Linked DNA regions of Oryctolagus cuniculus. The protein of the gene in region 2 purifies or fractionates together with the protein of the main gene of each other region. This does not show direct contact. Links are inferred from orthologs where the notes say so. Each region holds a gene or a part of one and is shown on either strand. Other genes may lie near its edges. The genes, in order: SUFU and GLI2.

Region 1 (3,798 bases), on a different chromosome or scaffold from region 2:
ACCCCGGGTTCTAGTCCCAGTTGGGGGGCCGGATTCTGTCCCAGTTGCTCCTCTTCCAGCCCAGCTCTCTGCTCTGCAGCACACTGCTGTGGCCCGGGAAGGCAGTGGAGGATGGCCCAAGTGCTTGAGCCTTACACCCACATCGGAGACCAGGAGGAGGTGCCTGGCTCCCAGTTGGGTTCTTGGGGGTCCCCTAAGGTTTGGCCCTGCTGCCCTTTCCTCTAGGGCCGGGGTCATGGAATGCTGAGGTCATATCCCTTCCTTGGTCTGTCCCAGGCAACTGGGCCTCCCATGAGCTAGCTAGGGTGAGAAAGGAGTCCCTTGGTGGGATTATTTCTTGTAAGGTGTTTTGTGGTCTTTGGGGCAAAGTGTACTAATCTTTTCCCCTGCATCCAGATTTTGATCTAAGACTTACTCTGCAAACTGTAAACACATACAACACAGCAAACTGACATCAGGTGCTCAAAGGGCCATGCTCAGAGTGGGGAGGGGATGGTTACAAGCTTCTTTTTGGCTACAGTGGCATGGGTTACCTTTATAATTTTTAAAACCTAGTCAAGAACAATTAAATTCTGAGATAATATTATAGATCCCTCCTTAAGTTTCCTCTTTTGTCAAAAGCAACAGAATGATTCTGGTAACTGGGTGCTCTCTTTCTGAATCTCCCACAGATGTGGTACACAGGAAGGAAAGAAAGGGATTAAACATGGTCAAATATTTGCACTAGGGGTTTAAGTTGTCCTTTTCAGAAAGAGAAAACCTTTCACAAGTGTTAGCACATAGGCAGGTGCTATTCAAGGCTGAAGGGATCTTTTTCTTCAAAAAAATCAGAAAAAAAAAAAAAAAAACAGAGAAAGGAAGTAGACCAAGAAGCCAGACACACACGTACACAAAATAGCTGCTTTGCCTTTGGAGTTGGCTTGGGATATTGGGATACCCTCTGCTAAAAGCCACAACTGTTTCTGCAGTTGAGACCAGCACAGGGAGCTTCCAACAGGACACTCATCTTCCTTCCCAAAATCTCATGCAAACTCAAGAGGTACAGGGTGCCCCACCCACAGCCCCTTACTCTGTAACTACAGGACAGTGCGACGGGGGGTCATTTGCAAGTGGGCCTCACATGATTGATCGCCAGGGCTGGCATGGTCTTCAGGCCAGAACTGGGCCCTGTGTCAATTCTGTGGGTGGCCGTGCTTGTTCTCTTGTACTTGGGTGGACTATGGGCTTTTCCTGTAACTGTTCTAATGCTTCCACTCACATCCGTGACCCTAGATCGCAAGACCTGAAGGTAAAACACAATGGTCCCTGCTGGTGGTGTATTTGCAACACACGCAGGAAAGAGCTATAAATGGGCCAATAAAGCTCCCTTAATTCCACCCTGCTGGAAGACTTTACTTGCTGCTTAACTCAGGCCAGTAAAGAAACTATTGAACAGGCTGTTTTCGTTAAAGACTCATCCTGGAGAGGGAAAAGGGGAGGAGCGGGGCCGGGCCATGGCCCCACCTTTGCCAGAGAGCCTCCGGGGCTGTGTGCCGATGCAGATGCTCCGGCTGTCCTCATCATCCTCGGGGGGCCGGCTCAGGTCATCCCAGGCACACTTGGCGCTGACACCACTCAGGTTAGAGCCGTCTGTCTCGATGCCTTTGTCAACTCGCTCCTGCTTGAAAAGATCCAAAGAGCCAGAGTTCCTTCAGAGAACTGGGGCCCCACAGTCACCACTGCCCTCCCCACTCCCATGCTTAGAGCACGTGTCAAGCCCTCATAGGTGCCAAGGAGGACGCAACAGATGCAGCGCAAGGCTTCTGCTGCTGCGCTGCCTGGTTCCCGCATGCGACTGTCTCTGCCGGCCCCTGCACTGCTGCAGGGGAACCAGGAGGAATGGAAAAGCCAAGGGGAGCTGCTTTTCCACCATCAGCCTTCCAGGACCATGGTTTTCCCTCCTCTTTCAGAGCCCAGACCCTACCCACTCCATGCTGGCCTGTGAAGCTGATGTGGCAAAGACAGGACCCACTTCCTTGAAGAAGGTTCTCTTCCTCCTCTCCTCCCTGATCCTTCAAGAACTCTTTCCTGCTACAGCAGTCAGAGGGGAAGCCAGCTACAGGTGAGGGAGGCCATGTCTGCAGTTCCTCTTCCAACAGCTAGAGGGTGCAGCTGTACAGAGATGTGCCCAATAGCAGAAGCCCTGGTGTCTCCTGGCTGCCACCCCTAACTTGTTTTGCAAAAGACACTAGATAGAGTTCCTTTTCCATCTCTTAGATCGAACAAGGGCCTGGAGGACAGTGACCAACTATAGACAGTGTCCCTACTCCACCCCCAACCCCCTGCCAGGAGGCTCTGCCTCTGTGCAGGTCTTGGCACTGTTGAGTCCAAACACTCTCCAAATGGCCTCGAGGAAGAGCCGTACTCAAAACATCCTTGGATTTTCTGGCAAAATACAGTGCTGAGATGCTGGGTTTTAGATTAAAGGTCATCTAGAAGGCTCCAGCAACCCTGCCCATCCACAGCCATCTGGGCCAAATAAAGCTCCTGTGACTGAGCATGCCAGCAAGGCTGTGTGCTCCCACTCCCCTCATCAGCACCCCTTGCCCTGCTATGGCATCATGGGCACCAAACTGGCCAGTCAGGGAGCTATCTGGGGGAAACTGCTCTCATTTGTTGGGACTTATCACAAGTGTCCCTGCCTAGGACACCTCCTTCCCATCAAGCACTCCCTCCTCTTTCCCAGTGTCACCATCAGCCTGGACAACGCTGGGGCTCTGGTAGGGAGAGGTTAGCAGCAGGGAATGGCTCTGGGTCCTCCAGGTAGCAGCAGGTGAGCCCTTCTTGCTGAGGGGAGAGCCTGGGCTTCTCCCTCTCCACTGGCTGCCCTGAAGCCCTTTACCCAGCTAAGAGCTAAGACTAGATACCTCCTGGCTAAACTGGTCCAGTGTACCTACTTCATAAATGAAAAGAAAGAGTTAAGAGCCAGAGAAATAAGGAGACTGGGTCAGGCACACAGCTTGTTAGTGGCAGAGCTTGGATTGAAGGACAGGAGCAGTTCTAAACTGGACTGACAGCAAAAGCAGGCCTGAGGGCAGCATAAGGGAACGCAGCGGAGTTCACACCTGGTCCACAGAGACTAGGAAAGCAAGCTGCATCCTTCTCCCATGGCTCCCTACTTGCTTTGACAGACACTTGGGTGCTCTGGGTCCTGCGGGCTGGTCTCGAGAGCCTGCAGACCACAGAGAACTATTCTTAGCATGCAGACAAAGGACAAGTTGCTTGCCTTACTATTTCAAAGGACCAGGCTGCAGACAAAGGGCTCAGCCTTCATGGTTCCTGGTTCTTGCATAAGCAGAAGCTACAAGGAAACCAAACTTAAAGCAGAGATAACAGAGGATGTTGGCAACAACTTGAAAGTTTCAGTGTTAAAGGCACTAGGAAGACAGAGGAGCATCATCTGTGAATGAAGATTCATGCCCAAGCCCTCATAGGCGTGCAGTAGAGAACCCGGGGACTGCAGGCAGCGTGTCCATCTGCCACCTCTGCCCTGCTCCAGAAGGCAGCTGCCTGTGGCCTGCCAGAGCTTTAGAGAAGGAAAGGTTCAGAGACAGCACTGCCCTGCAACTGGTGGAGGGGGAGCAGGAGCCACGCCCATGGCAGGCACCTGGTAGGATGCCTGCTGCTCCTGCTCCCTGAGCAGGCCATAGCAAAAGCAGGCATGCTCCTGGGTCTTTCAAAATCCATCCACATGCTGATGAGTGCTTCTTCTAGGACACTAAAGACGGTGAGGCTGTCCAGGTGGGCCACTGTGAGGGG
Region 2 (4,234 bases):
GTGGCTGAGGGGGGGATGGGCGGGGGGGGAACGCATGGAAGAAGGGTGTTTATTAGGCAAAGATCCAATTTTGTCTGCCTGCCTGCTGAATCCTCTGGCTTGCTAATCCAGCCCCGGGGGCTGCACTGTGTACAGGGCACTTGTGGGAGTACAAAAAGCGTGAAGTATTTGTGTATTTTTCAGTCTGCAATGCAAACAAGCCCGCTACAGTACACAGCCCCCAAGACCCCCGCAGCCCGGTCAGGAGCCGCTGACCAGCAGCCCTGGGGCCCCCTCTTGTGACCAAGCAACTCAGAGGATTTCCTCTCTGCTGTGTGCTCTGCCCACACTGGCCACATCCCTGAGAAAGTGGCACTCCATCCCAAGGCCACCAGCCCCAAGACCACAGATCGCCCCACACGCACACCAGGGTGAAGCCTTGTGAGCTTGGGAGCCCCTTGGAAGTCTCCCGAAACAGTGGGAACCCTATGCCAATCCCTGGCAATTCCCACGAAGGCTAAAAAAACATCTCTTAACAAACCCACGTTGTTCCTCGGTAAGCCCTGCCTTGCTCTGGTTTTCCCTCTCATTCTCGCCAACTGACTTTGCAAGGGACTGCTCCGACCCTCACACAGACTCAAGACCAACACAAGGCTTCTTCTTCATCCTGGGCAGGTGGGCTGGATCTCCCAGGCATTCATTTAAATCCCACCTACCCCCTCCCCCATGAATGGCAAAATAGCCTCCTGAAACTGGCATGTTTCTGGAAGCAGAGGGGAAATACAAAACCACCCTCAATCTTACAAAATATAATTAACTTCCAGACCCACCAGAGGAGTGATAACTTTCTGGACTGTTGAGTCTGAGTGGGATCTGAAAACCAGAGTCATCCCCCCACCCAATTTCCTGTCCGGCTCAGGACAGATGCGCACTCCTAGGAAAAGAAGAGCAGGCAAGATGAAGACAGAGACCTAAGAAGGGGTAGGAAGGCTGGAGGGAGACCCCAGGCCGGGGCATCTTCAGGGTCTCGGGTTGGACATTTCCAAATGATCACCTTCAAGACAGACCAGAAGCTGGGAAAAGTCTAGAAGGCCTCAAAACTTAAAAGCAGCCAGGCATGGCCAGGGTGCTCGCTCTCCCGACCCCATATACCCACAAGACGGGCAGCTCCCAGCCCCAGGGAGGAGCACAGGAGAGCAGTAGCAAGGTAAGGAGCTGGGCACGGAGCGGCCGGGAGGCAAGGCGGCCAAAGCAAACAGCTCGCATCAGGCCAGCTGCTCAGAAGCCCGCCTGTTGCGCCGCGATCCCCTGCTGTATATTTTGGATTTCACAGTTTATTGCCTTTACTTTCTGGCACCGCCCCCCCCCCCCAACCGGAGCATGCCAATACAATATTTGCTTAAACACTATTTTATGCCACTCGCGAGGGAAACGTTTACTTTCAACTTCTCCGCCAGCCCCCAGAGCCCCGTCCGCAAACAGCACGTGAGCGTTTTACGACCTCTGCCTTGATCTGAAGCTGTTGGGATTAAAACCTTCACACGCCCGGCAAGGGCGCCGGGGCCCCAGGCCCAGGACGCTGCGGTGGCCGCTGAGCGCCGAAGCCCACTACACGGGCCTCGCTCTCCGCACGGGACGCCCGGGATGGGGAGCCAGGGGAGGCGCGCGGGGAAGCGCTGCGGTTCACTCCGGGAGCCGCGCAGTAACTACACAAAAGAGGCATCCAGGCGGAAGGCGGACCCCAGGCCCGCGCGCTCTGGTCACCCGGGGTGAGGCGCGGGTCCACCCGCAGCTCCCCGCGCCCTAAAAGCCGCGTTTCCCGGGGAAGGACACCCACAACGGCCGGGCCGGACTTGAGCTCTGCGGCGTGGCTCCCGCCGACTCCCGCACGCGAGCGCGAGCGCCCTTCCCCCCACCGGCCTCCGCCCCCGCCCCGTCGGGGAAAAACGCTCCCCTCTCTAAACCCTTAATAGGATTGGCGCCCAACTCTCCCCGCGCCTCTCCCCATCCATCACACACAGATCAAGTTGCAGTAGTGGATTTTTCAAATTCCTCAGCAAATATACTTGTTGAGAGACTGTCCCGGGATGGGGGGGTGGGGGCGGGGATGGAAGTGAGGGGTGGGGGGGACCTGCGGGTCGGGCCAAGGATTACGTGAGGATCTCTTGGGGAAGTCAAGCGGATCTCGGGGCCGAGGGCAGGAGAGGAGGAGGAGAAGGAGGAGAGGCCGGCCGAGGGGGAGGGGGCGACAGGGCCCAGCGAGGGGGAGGAAGGAGCGAGGAAGAAAGAGAGGCCGGGCTGCGGGACGCGCGCCGCGGAGAAGTGCAGTTGGAAGTTCGTACAAGTGGCCGCCGCGGGCCCTGGGCACAGCGCTGCCACCGACACGCTCCCGCCGCCCACCTAACGCGAGCTGTGGACATCCAGCCCCGCGCTCATTCGCACCCGCACCAACAGCCCCCGGCCCGGGCGCACACCGAGAAGACAGAAGCTTGCCCCCGGGTAGGGAAAGTCGCCTTTCGGCCACGAGTCCCATCACCCAAAACCCCTTCCACCCCAGGGGAGGAAGCGGGGCCGCCCCCCGCTGGTCTGCAAGTCCCTCTAAGCCCAGTACCCGGTCCCCGCGCCACGGCGCCGGCCCCCGACCAAGGGAGCCTTCGAGACGGCGCAGCATCCCAGTCGGCCGGGGTAGGCGGCGCTCCGCAAAGACAAGCGAGCCACACAGAAGGCCGACGCAACTTTACCGAGGGAGACAAAAGTTTGCCTCTAGCACGCAGGTGGCCTCTCAGGCGCCGGGCGGCGGCTGCGGGTCCCCATCCCAACTCGGCCGGCGCAAGGGCGCGCCGCGGGCTGCCGTGCGCCGCGGCTCAGACGGGCAGCGCCGGGCTGGGCCGCGCCCGGGAGGGGCCCGAGCCGAGACGCGCGGGGGCCGGGTAGCCCCTACCGCCAGCAAGCGGGCAGCTCCGCAAGGCTCGGGCGCGCCGCGCGGCTCGCGCTCTTCCCTCCGGCTGCTCCCGCGCTTCGTCGCCTTCCTCCGCGTCGGCGATCGCCGCCGCCTCGCGCTCCTCCTCGAAGTCTCATTGATGGGAGTTTGAAAAAAAGTCCGCGGAGCCGTGCTGCCTCGGCTGGCGAGCGCCCGCACTCGCGCAATCCAGCAGCGCCGCGCGGACCGCGCAGCGCCCCCGCGCGCTCGGCCTGGGCACAGCGGGCGCCGCGCAGCGCACCGCGCCCGGGGCCGGGCGTTGGGGTGGGGGTGGGGCGAGGGGAGGGGAAGGAAGGGAGGGGAGGGGCGGCGGGGTTCCCCCCCACACCCCCCAGCGCTGAGGGCCGCGGTGCAGCCACGGGGAAAGTTTTTCCCCGGCGCCGGGCTGGGGGGTGGGGCACGACGCTAACTCGAGTCAGATGAACGCCGAGCCGAGGCGCGGGAATCGCTCTGTTTTCCATCTCCGCGCTACCCGCGCCCGCTTCCCTCAGTCGGCAGCTGCCCAGGTCGCCGTGCCCCGCGTGCACGGACTCCGGGGCGGAAGCTTGCGACCCGAGGGAGGCAGGGCGGGGGCCGCTTCCACGCGGAACTCTTCCTGCAGGTGCCGGGGGTCCTGCCGGCGTCCCCAGCCGCGGGGGCCCGGTGCATGTGTTCCTCAGGGAGGGGTTGGGTTTAGTTTGGTTTGGTTTTTTTAGAGGCTCCACTCGCGCCCCTGCGGCCAGATGGAAGTCATCAGGACCCAGCAGCAACAGAGGGAGAAGGAAGGGGGAAAAAACAAAACAGTGAATCTTGGGGCCGAGGTGTGTGGGGCCTGTGAGAGAAGGACCCTGGGTCCTTGGTCCCCAGCACAACCCCTCAGCGGTAGGGCAGCGGGCGGGATCCTGCTCTCCAGCCGCTGTTCCCCCCACCCCCTGGGCACTGGAGCCTCCCACAAGAGTGGCTGGGGAATTTTGTGTATTTCTTTCCTGACCCCAGCGATGGCTGCCCCTTGGTGTGACGTCACCTTCGCGGCTCCCAAAGTGTGTGCGCCCTCGCCCCCTTCTTCAGGTAGGAAGACTGAGTTCTGCCCGAGATCAGAGCAGCGAGCTGCCACCCTCCAGGAGTCTTAGGCGTCCCACAGCAACTCCTTGTTCTGTGAAAGGCAAAGGAAGTCGGCACTCTGTGGCTTATGGGGTAAAGCCTCTGCCTCCTTTCCAGCCCGACTGATCCACTTCCCATCCAGCCCTCTGCTAATGCACCTGGGAAAACAGTGGAAGATGGCCCAAGTCCCTGGGC

What was found.
Region 1: the proteins of GLI2 (region 2) and SUFU purify together in Homo sapiens (affinity purification with mass spectrometry; 3 studies listed by BioGRID and IntAct, with this or other methods). This does not show direct contact. The link is inferred for Oryctolagus cuniculus from reciprocal best matches to the Homo sapiens genes GLI2 and SUFU.

The regions. Positions count from the first base shown.
Region 1 is NC_091446.1:27,383,317-27,387,114, forward strand, and holds part of SUFU (suppressor of fused homolog), read right to left. Parts: intron 1,661-3,798; coding exon 1,504-1,660; intron 1-1,503. UniProt on the Homo sapiens protein: Negative regulator in the hedgehog/smoothened signaling pathway. Down-regulates GLI1-mediated transactivation of target genes. Down-regulates GLI2-mediated transactivation of target genes. Part of a corepressor complex that acts on DNA-bound GLI1.
Region 2 is NC_091434.1:121,129,970-121,134,203, forward strand, and holds the start of GLI2 (zinc finger protein GLI2), read right to left. Parts: upstream 3,060-4,234; 5' UTR 2,921-3,059; intron 2,860-2,920; exon of another isoform or gene 2,721-2,859; intron 1-2,720. UniProt on the Homo sapiens protein: Functions as a transcription regulator in the hedgehog (Hh) pathway. Functions as a transcriptional activator. May also function as transcriptional repressor. Requires STK36 for full transcriptional activator activity.